Arabidopsis thaliana: one gene and its partner. The protein of the gene in region 1 interacts with the protein of each later gene in a pairwise test. Each region holds a gene or a part of one and is shown on either strand. Other genes may lie near its edges.

The links. Proteins that work in one complex are often made in the same cells at the same time.
Region 2: the proteins of AT3G60200 (region 1) and SK 11 interact in a two-hybrid assay, tested with the Arabidopsis thaliana proteins (one large-scale study listed by BioGRID).

The regions. Positions count from the first base shown.
Region 1 is NC_003074.8:22,246,295-22,252,556, reverse strand, and holds AT3G60200 (uncharacterized protein), read right to left. Parts: upstream 3,666-6,262; 5' UTR 3,238-3,665; coding exon 2,320-3,237; 3' UTR 1,989-2,319; downstream 1-1,988. Other genes in the region: AT3G60210 (GroES-like family protein), read left to right, coding at 40-98, 206-256, 628-693, 781-828, 919-948, 1,043-1,114; DL1E (DYNAMIN-like 1E), read left to right, coding at 4,906-5,052, 5,142-5,205, 5,293-5,400, 5,525-5,626, 5,712-5,762, 5,854-5,915, 6,054-6,144, 6,237-6,262.
Region 2 is NC_003076.8:9,397,257-9,405,142, forward strand, and holds SK 11 (shaggy-related kinase 11), read right to left. Parts: upstream 5,221-7,886; 5' UTR 5,012-5,220; intron 4,618-5,011; 5' UTR 4,584-4,617; coding exon 4,482-4,583; intron 4,405-4,481; coding exon 4,312-4,404; intron 4,205-4,311; coding exon 4,145-4,204; intron 4,050-4,144; coding exon 3,777-4,049; intron 3,702-3,776; coding exon 3,627-3,701; intron 3,531-3,626; coding exon 3,474-3,530; intron 3,387-3,473; coding exon 3,246-3,386; intron 3,159-3,245; coding exon 3,108-3,158; intron 3,009-3,107; coding exon 2,913-3,008; intron 2,812-2,912; coding exon 2,728-2,811; intron 2,614-2,727; coding exon 2,511-2,613; intron 2,409-2,510; coding exon 2,326-2,408; 3' UTR 2,121-2,325; downstream 1-2,120. Other genes in the region: AT5G26749 (C2H2 and C2HC zinc fingers superfamily protein), read right to left, coding at 1,029-1,138, 1,231-1,302, 1,434-1,497, 1,645-1,766, 1,851-1,983; AT5G26760 (RNA polymerase II subunit B1 CTD phosphatase RPAP2-like protein), read right to left, coding at 6,613-6,717, 6,802-6,948, 7,224-7,487, 7,568-7,767, 7,872-7,886.

The DNA.
Region 1 (6,262 bases):
CCCATCATTGATTCCTTTCTTGTTTACGGATTTCTATAGGAATTCGAAGAAATTCCTTTAGAATTAACGCCGTTTCCACCAAATGGGAACCGGCAAAGGTACGACCTTTTAGTTTTTTTTTTCTTCGTCTCCTTTTATTTTTGGTGGTGATTTTGTTTTAATCAGGAGATCATTTCATTTTTATTTGTTGCAATGGGTTTTGCAGGTTGTACCACAAGCAGACAGGGTCCTTGTCCGCCTTGAAGTGCTTCCTGAGGTTCTGTCTCTTAGCTTTCTTCTTTTTACATTTTCAATCGATCCCCCTCACGACGACTAGAGTATATTTGCCATTTTCCGGTGATTCCTTAGCTTTCTTTTCCAACAATGTTGCTGTTGAAATGTAGTTAGTTTCCCTTATTCACTGAAGTCTTGAGATCGTTTCTGTTTTGTTAGAAGAGAAAAGAAACACACACAAAAAGGGAAACAATTTAGAACACTTAAGATTACAAAGTTTAGTTTCTCTGCTCGTGGCGCTGCGGTTTCTGTAGACGAATCATGAGTCTTGGTCAATGTATCATGTTGTTACAATACTAGTTGTGAGTTCTAATGTTGATTGTGAGTTGTGACAATGCTTTTGTGCTTGTGCAGAAATCCTCAGGAGGAGTACTGTTGCCTAAATCAGCTGTGAAATTCGAGAGGTACCTAACAGGCGAGGTAAGGCTCTCTCGTCTGTCCTTTGCTCTTTAATTGGATGTTATTAAGACTTAGAAGGAACAATTGATATGGAGTTGAGGATTTCAGGTTGTCTCTGTTGGGTCTGAGGTTGGGGAAGTGGAACCTGGCAAGAAGGTATGTTTCATCTTTTAACTAAAAACACGATGAAGTAACTGTATAATCTCCTTCTTCATTCATTTGTTCATGCTCTTGTATCTTTTGCAGGTTTTGTTCTCTGATATGAGCGCCTATGAGGTTTGTATTTGATGATTATGATGGAACATTGAGACCATACTTGATGACTTTGATCATACTTGTGAAACTGAGACATCTCTTTTGATTTCTTCAGGTTGATTTTGGAACAGAAGATGCTAAGCATTGCTTTTGCAAAGAAAGCGACTTGTTAGCTATCGTCCAGTGAAAAGTAGCATCGAAGTTGTGCATTCAATGATATCATCTACCAAAGAGTTTCTGGTTTTCTTGTAATTTCAGTGACAGCAGCATATGTTCTGTTGTTTGAGTTTCATGAAAGAGCTCAAAGTGGAGATTGATCGGAAACCGAAATTGTTAAAGTCAACAATGTTCTCTCAAACAGAAATCGTTTTATTTGCAAATTTCTCATAAGCCTTATGTTCATAGCTTAGCTGGTGAACAAGACCGATCCCATTCAATTTTTTCAAGGATTTGATCTTTACTTGATTTCTTAAAAACGAATTATTTTACCAGAGCGTAAAGGAGATTCACGGACCCATGGAGATGAACCCCGTGGACCCTCTTCATTTAAACTCTTTCGAGTTATTAGACAACTTTTATAAAGTTGAATTGAAAGCACTCTATGTCGTACTTGGATTTTTATTAAAAGTCGATAAAAGATATTTTGATACTTGTGTCATAAGCGATTCCAATATAGCTTTGTAGGTCTATGTGTTGAAGTGGACTAGAGAAGAAGGACTGTGAAACCCAAGATAAACTTTTCCAAGGTGATGACAAAAAATAAGTCAAAACTGTCGCACTCTTATTATTTATAGCCAGAAATTCATGGGTCAAATTTCAAAATCTAAGCACCCGCATTACTACTACTACTACTCAAAACCGTAATGCTTAGTGTAATGACATTTGAGTCTTTGACTATATGACATAATACATTTGAATTAATACTTCAGCACATATAGATTGACTAACCTGATTCGGTATTATTGGCACGGTTCATATAGGATCTTACCGCTATACGAACCCATACTGATTTTGTCCAATTTTTTTGGAATTTAGATCCGGTTTGATCAGGTTCCACGGTTCTACCAATCAATCGATCCGGTTTTATCTTGATTTCTTGTCCTAATAATCGGTAAGTAATTCTCATAAGTAAAAAAACAAGAACACACTACATTATTTCTCTTAATCTCCTAAGAACAATATATTTGGCCATTCAAACTCTACAATTACAATCAGAAAACATTACAATTTTTTATAACAAAAGTATTGTTTGAGCTATTTCCCATAGAGATTATTCACCACAAGCCATATAAAAAGCTTGATTTTGGCAAAATCCATCTTCAGAAAGCCGTAGTTTACTATCCAATAGTCAAACACGTTGACCAAAGACTAATCCCACCAAAATAAAAAAACTCAACGGCGGCGATCAACTCTACCTAAATCCACAAGCTTCTTCGATCTATTTGCACAAAACGACGCCGCTGCTGATATATGAGGCTTTTCCGGCACCGCCGTTACCTCCCCAGAATTACCAAACTCCGATGGAAATCTCATTTTCCGTTTAAACGGACAGTTAGGACTAGCTCTCACCAACGGACTCAAACAAAAAGCCATCCCCGACATGCTCTTCCCTATCCCCATCGCAATCTTCCTCCTTCCCGGAGTTTTCGTCGCCGGAGTTCTCCTCAATTCCTCGATTGATTCCGCCGACTGCTCCGGTTCCGTATCTCTTACAGGTGACATTCCTCTACAGTATATACGTTGAGGTCTACGCGCAGCGATAACGTCTTCGATGTAACACGCGGTGGTTGGTTGCTTTTTACGTCGACCGGTGGAGAGAATCGTCGAGATCCATGAACGTGAAGAGGAAGAAGAAGATGAAATCTCAGACGCGTCGCATGAGGAGAATCTAGGATTGTTGGATTTGGGATTGGTATCGAAATCTTCAGATCTAGCTCTGAATAGATTCGAGAATCTAGATACTTTTTTACCTTGTTTTGATTTATTTGATCGATTCGATTCGAAATCTTTGCATGAATATCCGACGAGATCTATCTGTGGCGTGGTAATGAATCTCCGATTAGAAGAAACTAAAGGATCTCCTCCACCGGCTCCGGCGTCGGATTTTCTACGGGTAACGTAAGGAGAAACAGAGCGAGGGAAAATCAAAAGCGGAGGATGATTATTGTTATTAGATTTCTTTGATTGATTATCTTCTACGGCGGCTGATACGGCGGCGGAAGCGGCGAGAGAGAGGAGACGTTCACGGAGGCAAGAAGCGCAAACGCCGTTGCTGCTGCTGAGATCGACGGTGTGTCTTTTACACCTCATCGGAGGAGAATTGAAGATAAAAGAAAAAGCTTTGATTTTTTTCGAAAGGAAGCTTTTTTTTTTTTGGGTTGGGCCGAGAGTTTCGGTGGTTATAGTGATGTGACAACCTGTAAAGATGAAGGAAGAAGAAAAGATCTGGTGGTAAAGATTTTGTCTTCTTCTCCTAAGATCTCTGTTTTGAGATAGGCTTAGAGAGAGAGAGATAGCATTCTATGTCGGAAAACCAAAAAAAAAGATAGATGAGAGAGAGAAACTAATTTATTTATCTAATGGAGATTTGTAAGCACAACATTTTGACAGATCATTTTATCACTAACCATTTCTTTAATGCAAAATTTAATTATGCGATGGTTAGTGATTCAATTGCAATTTTTGGTTCGTAATTTTGCCAACTTACAAAAAATTGATCTAACGCGCCATTATAGTTTCATAGTTGTAGAAGATAAAATCTAGTTATGGTTGACCTTTCTTTAATTCAATATACGGACCAATACCATTGGATTTGAATGGGATGTGTAGTGATTACCTCAGCCACTGACTTGAAACAATGATATAACTGTATAAATAAATAAAAAACCTAAAAGAGAAGCATGTGACGTTGGATGGTAAAAGCCGACAAGTATTAGGTGAAGACGAGCCATCGTCGTTTTCCACATATCTCACACGAATGTTCGTCCGTTTCTTCTACATATTGCCACGTGGTTTTCATATTTCATCAATAGGCCTTAACTTCATTATTGGGCTTTTAAAGCCTTCCTAAAGTCTCCTTGTCTATTGGGCCTGTCATGTGATAATCAATGATGTAATAAATAACGACAACCTATACTTAGTTTTTGCTTCTTCTTAGTTTGAATATGTTATGTTAGTTTGGTTATTTCAGTCATTTAGTTTGGTTTGGTTGATAACTAAATCATGATGTTGAGAGAAACTCATTGTTTTTGTGTTTATGTCTATGTTTATTGTGAAGAATGATTCATTATTTACCAAGTACTAAGAAATTCAAAATTTTCTAGAAATATTATTTTATGTTTGTGATTTCTAAAATAAAATCTAAAATAATTCAGACTGGATAACACAAAACCCATAAAAACTAGAGAACCGCTTGTATACATATAGCCTCCTACCCTCTTCCTGGACCTAACTTTATTATTGGGTCCTTTTAAAAGTCTTCTATATCTATTGGGCCTTCTAAACAATGTTGATTGTTGTTTCTAGACTTATTATTTTGTATTTGTGTGAGGGGTCCATGTGGAATTTCAAAATTCGAAAATTCAAACAGGTTACAAATATCTCAAATTAAAGGGACACAAATCTTATCTTCATTATTTTAGATTTGACCGTCTAGAAAAGTAAGAACCAGACCGTACCGAACCAAAACGAACCAGAGCCAGACGACTCCTTAACGGCGGCTAAGCTATCTGTAAACCGACCGAACCACACAGCCACAGGCACACAAATCAAACCTTCTAGAAATCAAAGAGAGACATTTATTCTCTAAATTCATTTTCCTATTTTGCCCCTACGAATATTTTTCTTCTTCGTCTCTCTCTCTCAGCTCTTGAAGTCTTTGGTCTGTTGGCGAATTTTCAAGCAGCTTTCTAATTCTGAACTGAAAATTTCGTCTTTGGAACTTTATATTCTCTCATCTGAAACTGAAGGAGAAGGAAGATGACGACTATGGAGAGTTTGATTGGGTTAGTTAATAGGATACAGAGAGCATGTACCGTACTCGGTGACTATGGTGGTGGAACTGGAAGTAACGCTTTCAATTCTCTCTGGGAAGCTCTTCCAACCGTCGCCGTCGTCGGTGGTCAGGTGATTTCTCCGGTTGAAATATCTTTGACTTCTTCCTAGGTTTTCTCTCTGGTGACTCTTCAACTTACTTTTTTTTTGGGTTTGTGCAGAGTTCTGGGAAATCTTCGGTTCTTGAGAGTATAGTTGGGAGAGATTTTCTTCCTAGAGGATCTGGTTTGTGAAAATTTTCCCTTTTCTCTTATGTTTGTATATAAAGCAAGGAGGAGCTTTGGTTTTGAGGAAGAAGTATTGTTTGTGCAGGTATCGTTACGAGACGGCCTTTAGTGTTGCAGCTTCATAAGACTGATGATGGAACAGAGGAGTATGCAGAGTTCCTTCATCTTCCCAAGAAGCAATTCACAGATTTTGGTATGTACCTTAACATTTATGTCTATCTATGTTATGTATATCAATGTATGTTTGTTCTGCTTCAAGTGTGTTTTAGTTGAAAGTGTTCATTGAATTTTTGCTTGAAAATTCTTCGATGTTTCAGCTTTGGTTCGCAGGGAGATTCAGGATGAGACTGATAGAATCACAGGGAAAAACAAACAGATATCTCCAGTTCCTATTCACCTCAGTATCTACTCTCCAAATGGTATCTTTAATAATCTCAGTCTGATTCCTGTAACATTCTTGTTTGTTGATTTAACATTGATGTTTGCTCTTTTTTATGGAAACAGTTGTGAATTTGACACTCATTGATTTGCCCGGTTTAACTAAAGTGGCTGTTGGTATGTTTCTTTTGACCTCTTCTTTGGGTTTCCATTTCTTTATTATTTGATGACCGTATATGTAGTTATTGATACTGCCTCTGATTTCCAGAGGGACAGCCGGAAACCATTGCTGAGGATATCGAATCCATGGTTCGCACATATGTTGATAAGGTGAGAATTGCTAGATCTTTCATTTTTTTTTAAAAATGCAAAAACCTTATACGACTTTTAAACTATATGCTCAAGTTCTAGTTGCAGATGGTTAACTTTTTTAGTAGTACCAATAGCTTAATTTCTGTTTGTTTGCAGCCCAATTGTATCATATTGGCTATATCTCCTGCCAACCAAGACATTGCCACATCAGATGCAATTAAGCTCGCAAAAGATGTCGATCCAACAGGTTCGTTTACTATTTTGTTACCTATGATTGATATATATATATGGCAGGAAGTACTGTCTTTAGATGATGAAATAAGTTTTTGATCGTCTCAGGTGAGAGGACATTTGGTGTTCTTACC
Region 2 (7,886 bases), on another chromosome or scaffold:
ATTGACTTATAATCTCGTTTAATCGTAAAATCTAAATCCTAATCTTTTTTATAAATCTAAACAGAAATATAACATTTAATTACAAGATCTAAAACCTTAACTATCCCTTTAATTATAAAATCCTAACTGAAATATAAGATATAACCTTTAATTATAACCCTGAAACCCTAAAACCCTAACAGAAATATAATCTTTAATTATAAAATCTTAAACCTAAACCGACATATAAGTAATTATAATACGCTAATCAAACTCTTCTTTATAAACTCAAACTATTTACTTTGTTCATAATTAAAATAAAAAATAAACTAAAACCCTCCATTATAAACCTAAAAACCAATATATAAATTTGAAATATTAACTAATAAATCATAACCTATCTTTTATAAACTCAAACCAACATGCTCGACTAAATTACTCTTAGGAGATTCGAAGATATTTCTCTCAACAATAAAGAGTTTAAAATTAGTTCTATTTTATGGAGTTGAAGAAATGAAAATGAAGTTAATAATTTAAATATTTGATTCTGAACAATCTGATTTTTCTTTTAGCCAACTTATACTCTGTTTCTCAATAATGTATTTTCTAGGGAAAAAATTGTTCCAACTTTGTAATTAATCTACAGCCTTAGGAATTGCTCCAACTTTGTCAAATATTTTGATAGTTTGGCTTGGGAAGTCTTGTTTAGCACATGGCCAGGAAGCGGATAGCGAATTAGCGATATCCTATCATCACGCAATGAATAGGGACGAGCCAACGAAATTTAAAGAATTTTATCAGAATATCGCACAGTATGTTAAATTGCAAATTTGCCATGTCCAAACTCCGAACAATGTCTCTAAAGTTGACGACAAATTGAGTAACAAGACGACAATTTGGTTGACATTCTTCCAACCTCGAGTCTGAAAAGAGACAAGCTTGTGGCTAAAAGCTTGGTAATGGCAGAGCACAACGAGACAAAGATTAGTCTTTTCCTTTCAAGTAGAATCATCAATGTTGAAACTGAGCATTATTCAGAGAATTTATATCTATCCCCAGTCTATGAAGGGAAGCTGAGGATAGCCTTGCTCAGGAGGCGGTTTTAGCGATGGCGGAAGATCAAACCAACCTGTTCCTGGTCTCCCACTAACAAAATCACCTGTTTTAGACAATTCAAACTTCCAACATCAGATTTTCTATAAATGCTTAAATATTAGAGAACTTGAATGACGAAAAAACAAGAACGCATACGGTTTAAAGTACTTCCTTGGATGTGTTGTTGGTTAAGCATGTCAACACGAAGTTGTGTATTATTTGTGAATCCTGCATTTGAATTCAACAAGAGGATGATGTTTTAAGCAAATCTTGCGCATAGTAGAGACTTCTTTAAAGCTTTAAGTAGCCTAAAAGAGACCAAATCACTGAAGTCAAAAATCAACAGGTTTTGACCTAACCTGTGCTTCCTGTATTGTTGTTAGGATGGAAGTATCTGCAAGAATCTCCAAATGGGCAAAAATTCTGCAAAACCCATTAAGAAAGGAACAGACTTTACTTGGAAGATTACATACATACACACATATGCAATGAATTTTTTTGCAGAATCAAACAAAGCAATGTAAAATGTGTGATTCCACCAGAATATAAACGAAAAGGACAAGACTTTACACATCCAGAGATTGCTAGGAATGATGAACATAGCGAAACAAAATCAATCCGACGTACCGAGGTAATGAATCGATTGCAGAGACCTTTCGTCGCAAAATTGGAGACTTGTGGATTAACAAGATCTAAGAATTTCGTATTAAAAGAAACAGAGATGTTAAAAATCGTTCCTTTAAGAAACAGAGAGAAAAAAGAGAGAAGAGAGATACCTGAGGAAGAAGAACTGTACCAAAGGGCTTTAGCTCGAAGATGAGGTTTGCTTTGAAGATGGCGTTTTCTAGCGACTTGAGTGTCTTGAAACTCTTTCTCGCAATAATCACAGTAATATTTCCCCGACGGCATCTTCCGGCGATGACGACGACGACTCGTAGAATCAAAAAGTTTTGGCTTTTATTAGTTTTAGGCGCGTGAGGATACTTGTATTTGCTACAGTGACTTTTAGGGTCTTTGTTTGATGATGTTGCAGAGGAAGAAGAAGATACAAAAGCAGAAGTAGCAAACTCTTTATCTAGATAAAAAATCTTGGTGGGCTTTTACATTATGAACCAACCAACCATAGTAATAACTCTTTTTTTCTCTACTCATACAACAAACAAAGGGTGCATATCAGTTTGTGACATATTGATACATAGAGAGGTAATTTATAAGAAGTGTTTGTTGTGTTCATGCTACATTAAGAGGAAATCACAAACCGAGCCAAGGACACTGCTTCCTTGCATGCTCAGGTACTAACTTAGCTACCATCTCCAATGGTACACCTTTCAGCTCTGTTTCACAACAATTACAGGTATAGCTTTAGTAAGGTAAAACTTTGATGATTTTACAGGTAAGTTGGAGATAAACACCATTAGGAAAGGGAGATGTTGTACCGTGAGGCTTGAAGTTGAAAAGCGGTGGAAGGAAACGTCCATTAGGTAGACGTGCGTTTGGGTCTCTTAACTCATCAAAGAATGGGTGGACTAATGTGTCGAGCTGTGATCAGGTTTACGATTCAAGTAAAAGCAAGTCAGACAAAAGAAAAATAGGAAATGAAAGGACCATCGAGAAGATTCACAGAAGAATGTTGAATTTGTAAGTAATACTCACAGCGGCACTTCGTAGATTAGGAGAGTATTGAAGAAGTCTTGAGACCAAATCAACAGCTTCTGGAGGCATGCGTTTGTGGAAAATCTGTGAATATATTATGACGAGTAGATATTGTCACATTGACTGTAACTGCTACTGAATAACACATTGACAAGTTGATTTGATGAATATAAGTTTATTTCTACCTTGTGCCATGGATGAGCTTTAATCTGAGGGAATTTGAATTCCGTGTAGTTTGGGTTCATGCACTTGATTTCTTCTCTAGTAGGCGTTCCCAAGACCTACCCCAAAGCATAACAAAAAACATTACATCAAATCTTCTCTCAGTATTATTGAAAACAAGAACTTGTTATCAAAGTGAACAAGTGCAAAGCTTATACCTTGATAATCTCTACAAGTTGATCAACACCGCTCTCACCAGGGAACAAGGGCTGTCATGAGCAGAGAATAGAGTTTGTCAATCACAAAATTCCAGGTTAAGTAGAACAAAAATGTTTGAATAAGATTTAATGCATTACCTGTCCAAGCAATAGTTCAGCTAGAACACATCCTGCAGACCAGACATCAATGGCTGTCGTATACTCGGTTGCTCCAAAAATAAGTTCAGGTGCTCTGTAATACCTCGAGCAGATGTAGGAAATGTTTGGTTCTCCTTTTACCTGTTTTCAGATATTACAATGATCAACAAGATTGAATCTAACTTTTTCCAAGAAACAAAGTACCCGGAAGAGGTTTATCAAACTCACCAATACTTTTGCACTTCCAAAATCACATAGCTTTACTTGATGAGTGTGCGGATTTACCTGTTCCATTACAGGTGAAAAAAGTAGCATTAGACAATGAAGAAAAGTATATTCCCGGGTATACTGTGAGCTCCTGTTTATTTAACTTGTACATACCAACAAGTTTTGAGGTTTTATGTCACGATGACACACACCAATGCATCGGTGAATGTAAGATAAGGCTCTAAAAATCTGCCAAACATAGAGAAATCCGATAAGAGATCCAAAACATAACTCTAAATCTAACAGAAATGTAATAATTGATACCTGATAAGTGTAAAGTTTGACGTATATAAGAGGCATTCTCTGATTCAGTTTGTTGTAGTGTTTGATAACACGATGAACAGTTTCTGGAACGTACTCAAGAACAAGATTGAGGTAAAGCTCATCTTTTTCAGTGGTTGAGAAGAAACAATGTTTCAGAGACACAACATTAGGATGGTCAAGTAGCCTCATGGTTTGAAGCTCACGGTTCTTGTACCTCCTATCTTGTAAAACTTTCTTTATCGCAACAGTTTCTCCTGTCTCAAGACATTTCGCCTAAATCACATAAGAAAATACAGAGGAATCCAATTCAGTCAATTGATAGATACATGATGTAAAACGTGAGAGATGATAAGCTAACAAAAACTCACTTGGAACACAACACCAAAAGATCCGTGACCAACAACACGCTCAGCCATGTAGCTAATTGTCTGCATTGACATTGTAGAAAAATTAATAAAAACACGAAACACTAACCAATCAACTAACTTAAGAAGATTAAAAGAACAGTTTTTTGCAAAGAAGAAGAATCAAAAACCTGTTTTGGTTGGCCATTTCTACCACCAATAGTAGTCACAATGATATGTCCAGTCTCTGTTCCATTTCCATCTACCACTGTCGCTTCCATTTCCTAACAAACCACAATCCATTATTTAGATTCTCATGAAATACATACCAAAAACTATACTACAACGCATGGAAACATACTTTATCGTCACGAATTTTCATGTCATTCATTTCTTCAGGCAATTTATCAACACCAGTAGAGTCTCTTGCTCCAGGATTAGGAGCTATACCCACTGACGCCATTTTTCAGGCTACAAAACTCTTCAAACTTTCAAGCCTGCAACAAATAACAACAGAGATTAAAATCCAATGAGTAAAGTTTGTTGCTTTACTAATAACAAAACACACAAATTCAATTTCAATAAAGGAACAAAACACAATTCTTTCAAGCTTAACAATTGAACACTTCAAATAAGTAAAAAACAATTTAGAACACTAAAATTACGAAAAGGAAAGTTTTTTTTTAACGGGAACAAAAAAAATAATGATAAGCCCAAAAAAAGTTGCAAAATTTAAAAGACCCAAACATTAAAACCAAATTAGAGTTTGGTAGAGAAGAGAGAATCTGTCGATTTTAAAATGATGGGTTAAATTAAAATTCATGGTGAAGCAGATCTGAAGCTAAAACCCAGAAGAAGGGATGAAGAAAGAGAGAGATCTTTAAGACGTACCGATGAAAACGTAAAAATCTCAGATCGATGAAGAGAAGAATTAGGATATTAAAGAGAGAGAGATCCGTACGAGTAAGGATTTGTGGGTTTTAACAAAAAAAAAAAAAAGGATTTGTGGGTTTGATGATTATGAATCTCTCTCTCTAACTTTATTTATTTTTCCGGTGAGAGACGAATTATGAAATATTTTTACTTTATATTATTTTGTGATTCGTCTATAATCATCTCTCTCTATATAGCTGGCTTCTCGTGAAGACAATTTTATTATTACTATATTGTAAAAGAAAAAAAATTAAATCATTTTTTTTTTTTGGTAGGGTGGGGAAAAAAAATTAAATCATTGATAGGCAAATGGATAATTTCTTTGAAAGTGAAAAAGAAAAAATAATGGGACTCGTCGAAGTTAGTAAAGTTACATTGGTTTTAGTTTTTGTCCTCTTTTTGAGATTTGACCATTCAAACTTTTATATTTTCTTCCCAACACAACAAACCAAAAGAGATAAGGGTCATAGAAAATAATGCATAAAGAACTTATTTATTAGGATTATTGGTAACTAAAAGTGTTTTAGCTGTTAGTTGGAGCTGTAAACTTTAGCTGTACGAAAAATTAGTAAAATAAATTGAGAATAAAACTGTTTGTAACGTTTTTAATAAAGTTTTTGTGATCGGTAAATATTAAAACTGTATGTTTTAGAAAATTTTGTACAGTTTTTTAAAATTGTTACCAATCAAACCCATTATTTTAATGTGATTGGTACATTAAAACCACCATATGTTTCTTTGAATTTTTCTTGTAGTTAAAAACATCTAATTAGTATAGGAATTTATTTAGAAGAAGAATAAGTGAGGGTAATTTTGACTTTTAAAATTTGTATACCTAAAGAATATACGAAGGAGACCAGAAGCTGAAAATGGGCCGTTGGGTCAAACGTGTCGGAGAGGAAACAAAAAAGAAAATAATCAACGACCACTTTTTTTATTATAAGGTGAGGTGAGAGACCCTCCCTATCTAAAGTAGTAACCTATCTCAATAATTCATCCCCAATTATTGGATTTTATCCCTACTACATTTAATTTATAGTTAGGAAAAAACATTATGGTGACAATTCTTTATTTTATTCCATGTACATTTCATTTATAAACACTAGTAGATGTGAATTAAATGTTGAAACAAGTATTATATAACAAACAAGAGATTCTGGCTAGGAATTATTACTATTTTTTTTCGACAAAAGGTACGGATTAAGATATTACTTAGTCAATCATAAATTTCTTCTCGCATGCATAGAAACACACAGTCTAGAATCAAAATCTTAGACGAAAACATGTCTTAGTCAAAGAAAATTTGACATTTCAATTCAAACTCATTAACTTACTAACTTATAAGAAATTTCATAAAAGGAACAACTCAACGTCTCTGACCCATTTATCATATATCGAAATGCGACAAATCTTTGTTCCAAGTAAAAAGCAAGCCAAGCATGACTTCAAGATCTTTCATACATTCAAAACAATGGCTTCAAAATTATAGACTCCTCTATTTTCATATATCTTAAGTTGATTTCTTTCTTCTACCAATAAACCTTAAACCCGGGTTTTGTCTACGCCCCGCTTCGGGTAGCAAACTGAGGAACACGGCCAAGTGGTAACAGGATATCCTTCATTGTCTCATACTCTTCATTTCCAATTCCACTTCCTTCCAAAATCTGATATTTTTCACCAACATTTATCAACAGATTAAATTCAGTTAGAGTTCGCCATTTATTATGTTCAAGTTGACTGGAACAAACCTTGTCTCTGTTGGATATATAAGGTGCAATCCGAGGGATACGTGATACAGACAACGCATCCAAGAAAAGAAGAACAATCACTAGCCATTCTTTTACCCTAAATGATGGAACTGCTCCTGTCAACGACATTGTCTCCAACAAGCTTCCCTGCTCAACAACAAAACACAACCAATATCACTGAGAAACTATATATAAGCTTCCCAGCGTAAGTTTGAGACAAGATTCTCATGAGGAACTTTTAAAGAGTTTATAATTTCAAATATGATTCCATACTTATATACTAAGGTTTCGTTCTAGGAGTACTTGCTACATTTTACAAAGATAGACGGGACCAATCACTAATTTGACTAGGATGGGCTATTTGGTTTATAAGTAGACCGACGATAACAGACTAATGAGAAGAAAAAATATTGGAAACGTACCAGTCCCTTTTCTAACTCGGATATCGCTATTGGCAGCCTGAGATGAGTGACGACTCTCGGTAAAGCTCTGGCAAGGCACCCAGCAATTGTCTGCTTGATCTCTGAGGAAAGCCCATCTACCATGATAATCCTCCGGGGGTACTCCTTCCCGTTAACCAATAAGAACTCCTCATGAGCAGATTCTTCCTTCCCATATATGTATGCCAGAGAGGACGATGATACCCAGCCAAACAGTGAATCCCACATCACAGCGAAATTTGATAACTGAGGAAGGAAGAGGACCAGTGAGTTTATTTCAACGCATTCCTAATGGGTGAGTATATTTAAATGCATAAGAGACTTACTGTGAGATTGAAGCCCTCTGGAGGTCCATCAAACCACGATTGATCACGGTCAAACAAATCAGAATCTGGAATCCCGGGCTTATTTGGCCACTTGAGAAGAGTTGGTTCCTCTTCAGTCATTTCCTCCTCACTATGTTCCTCAGTAACCTCTTCGTCAAGTTGATGTGTGCTGGGCAACAAAATGATTCCAGCTTTTGCAGCTATATAAAGCATGTCAAAGGGCAAAATTTAGGAATTTATGCAAGTCCACAACATATGGACATCCAAAGTATCATAGCTAAATTAACACCTCCTATGCACTTACTGGCATCACTTGCAT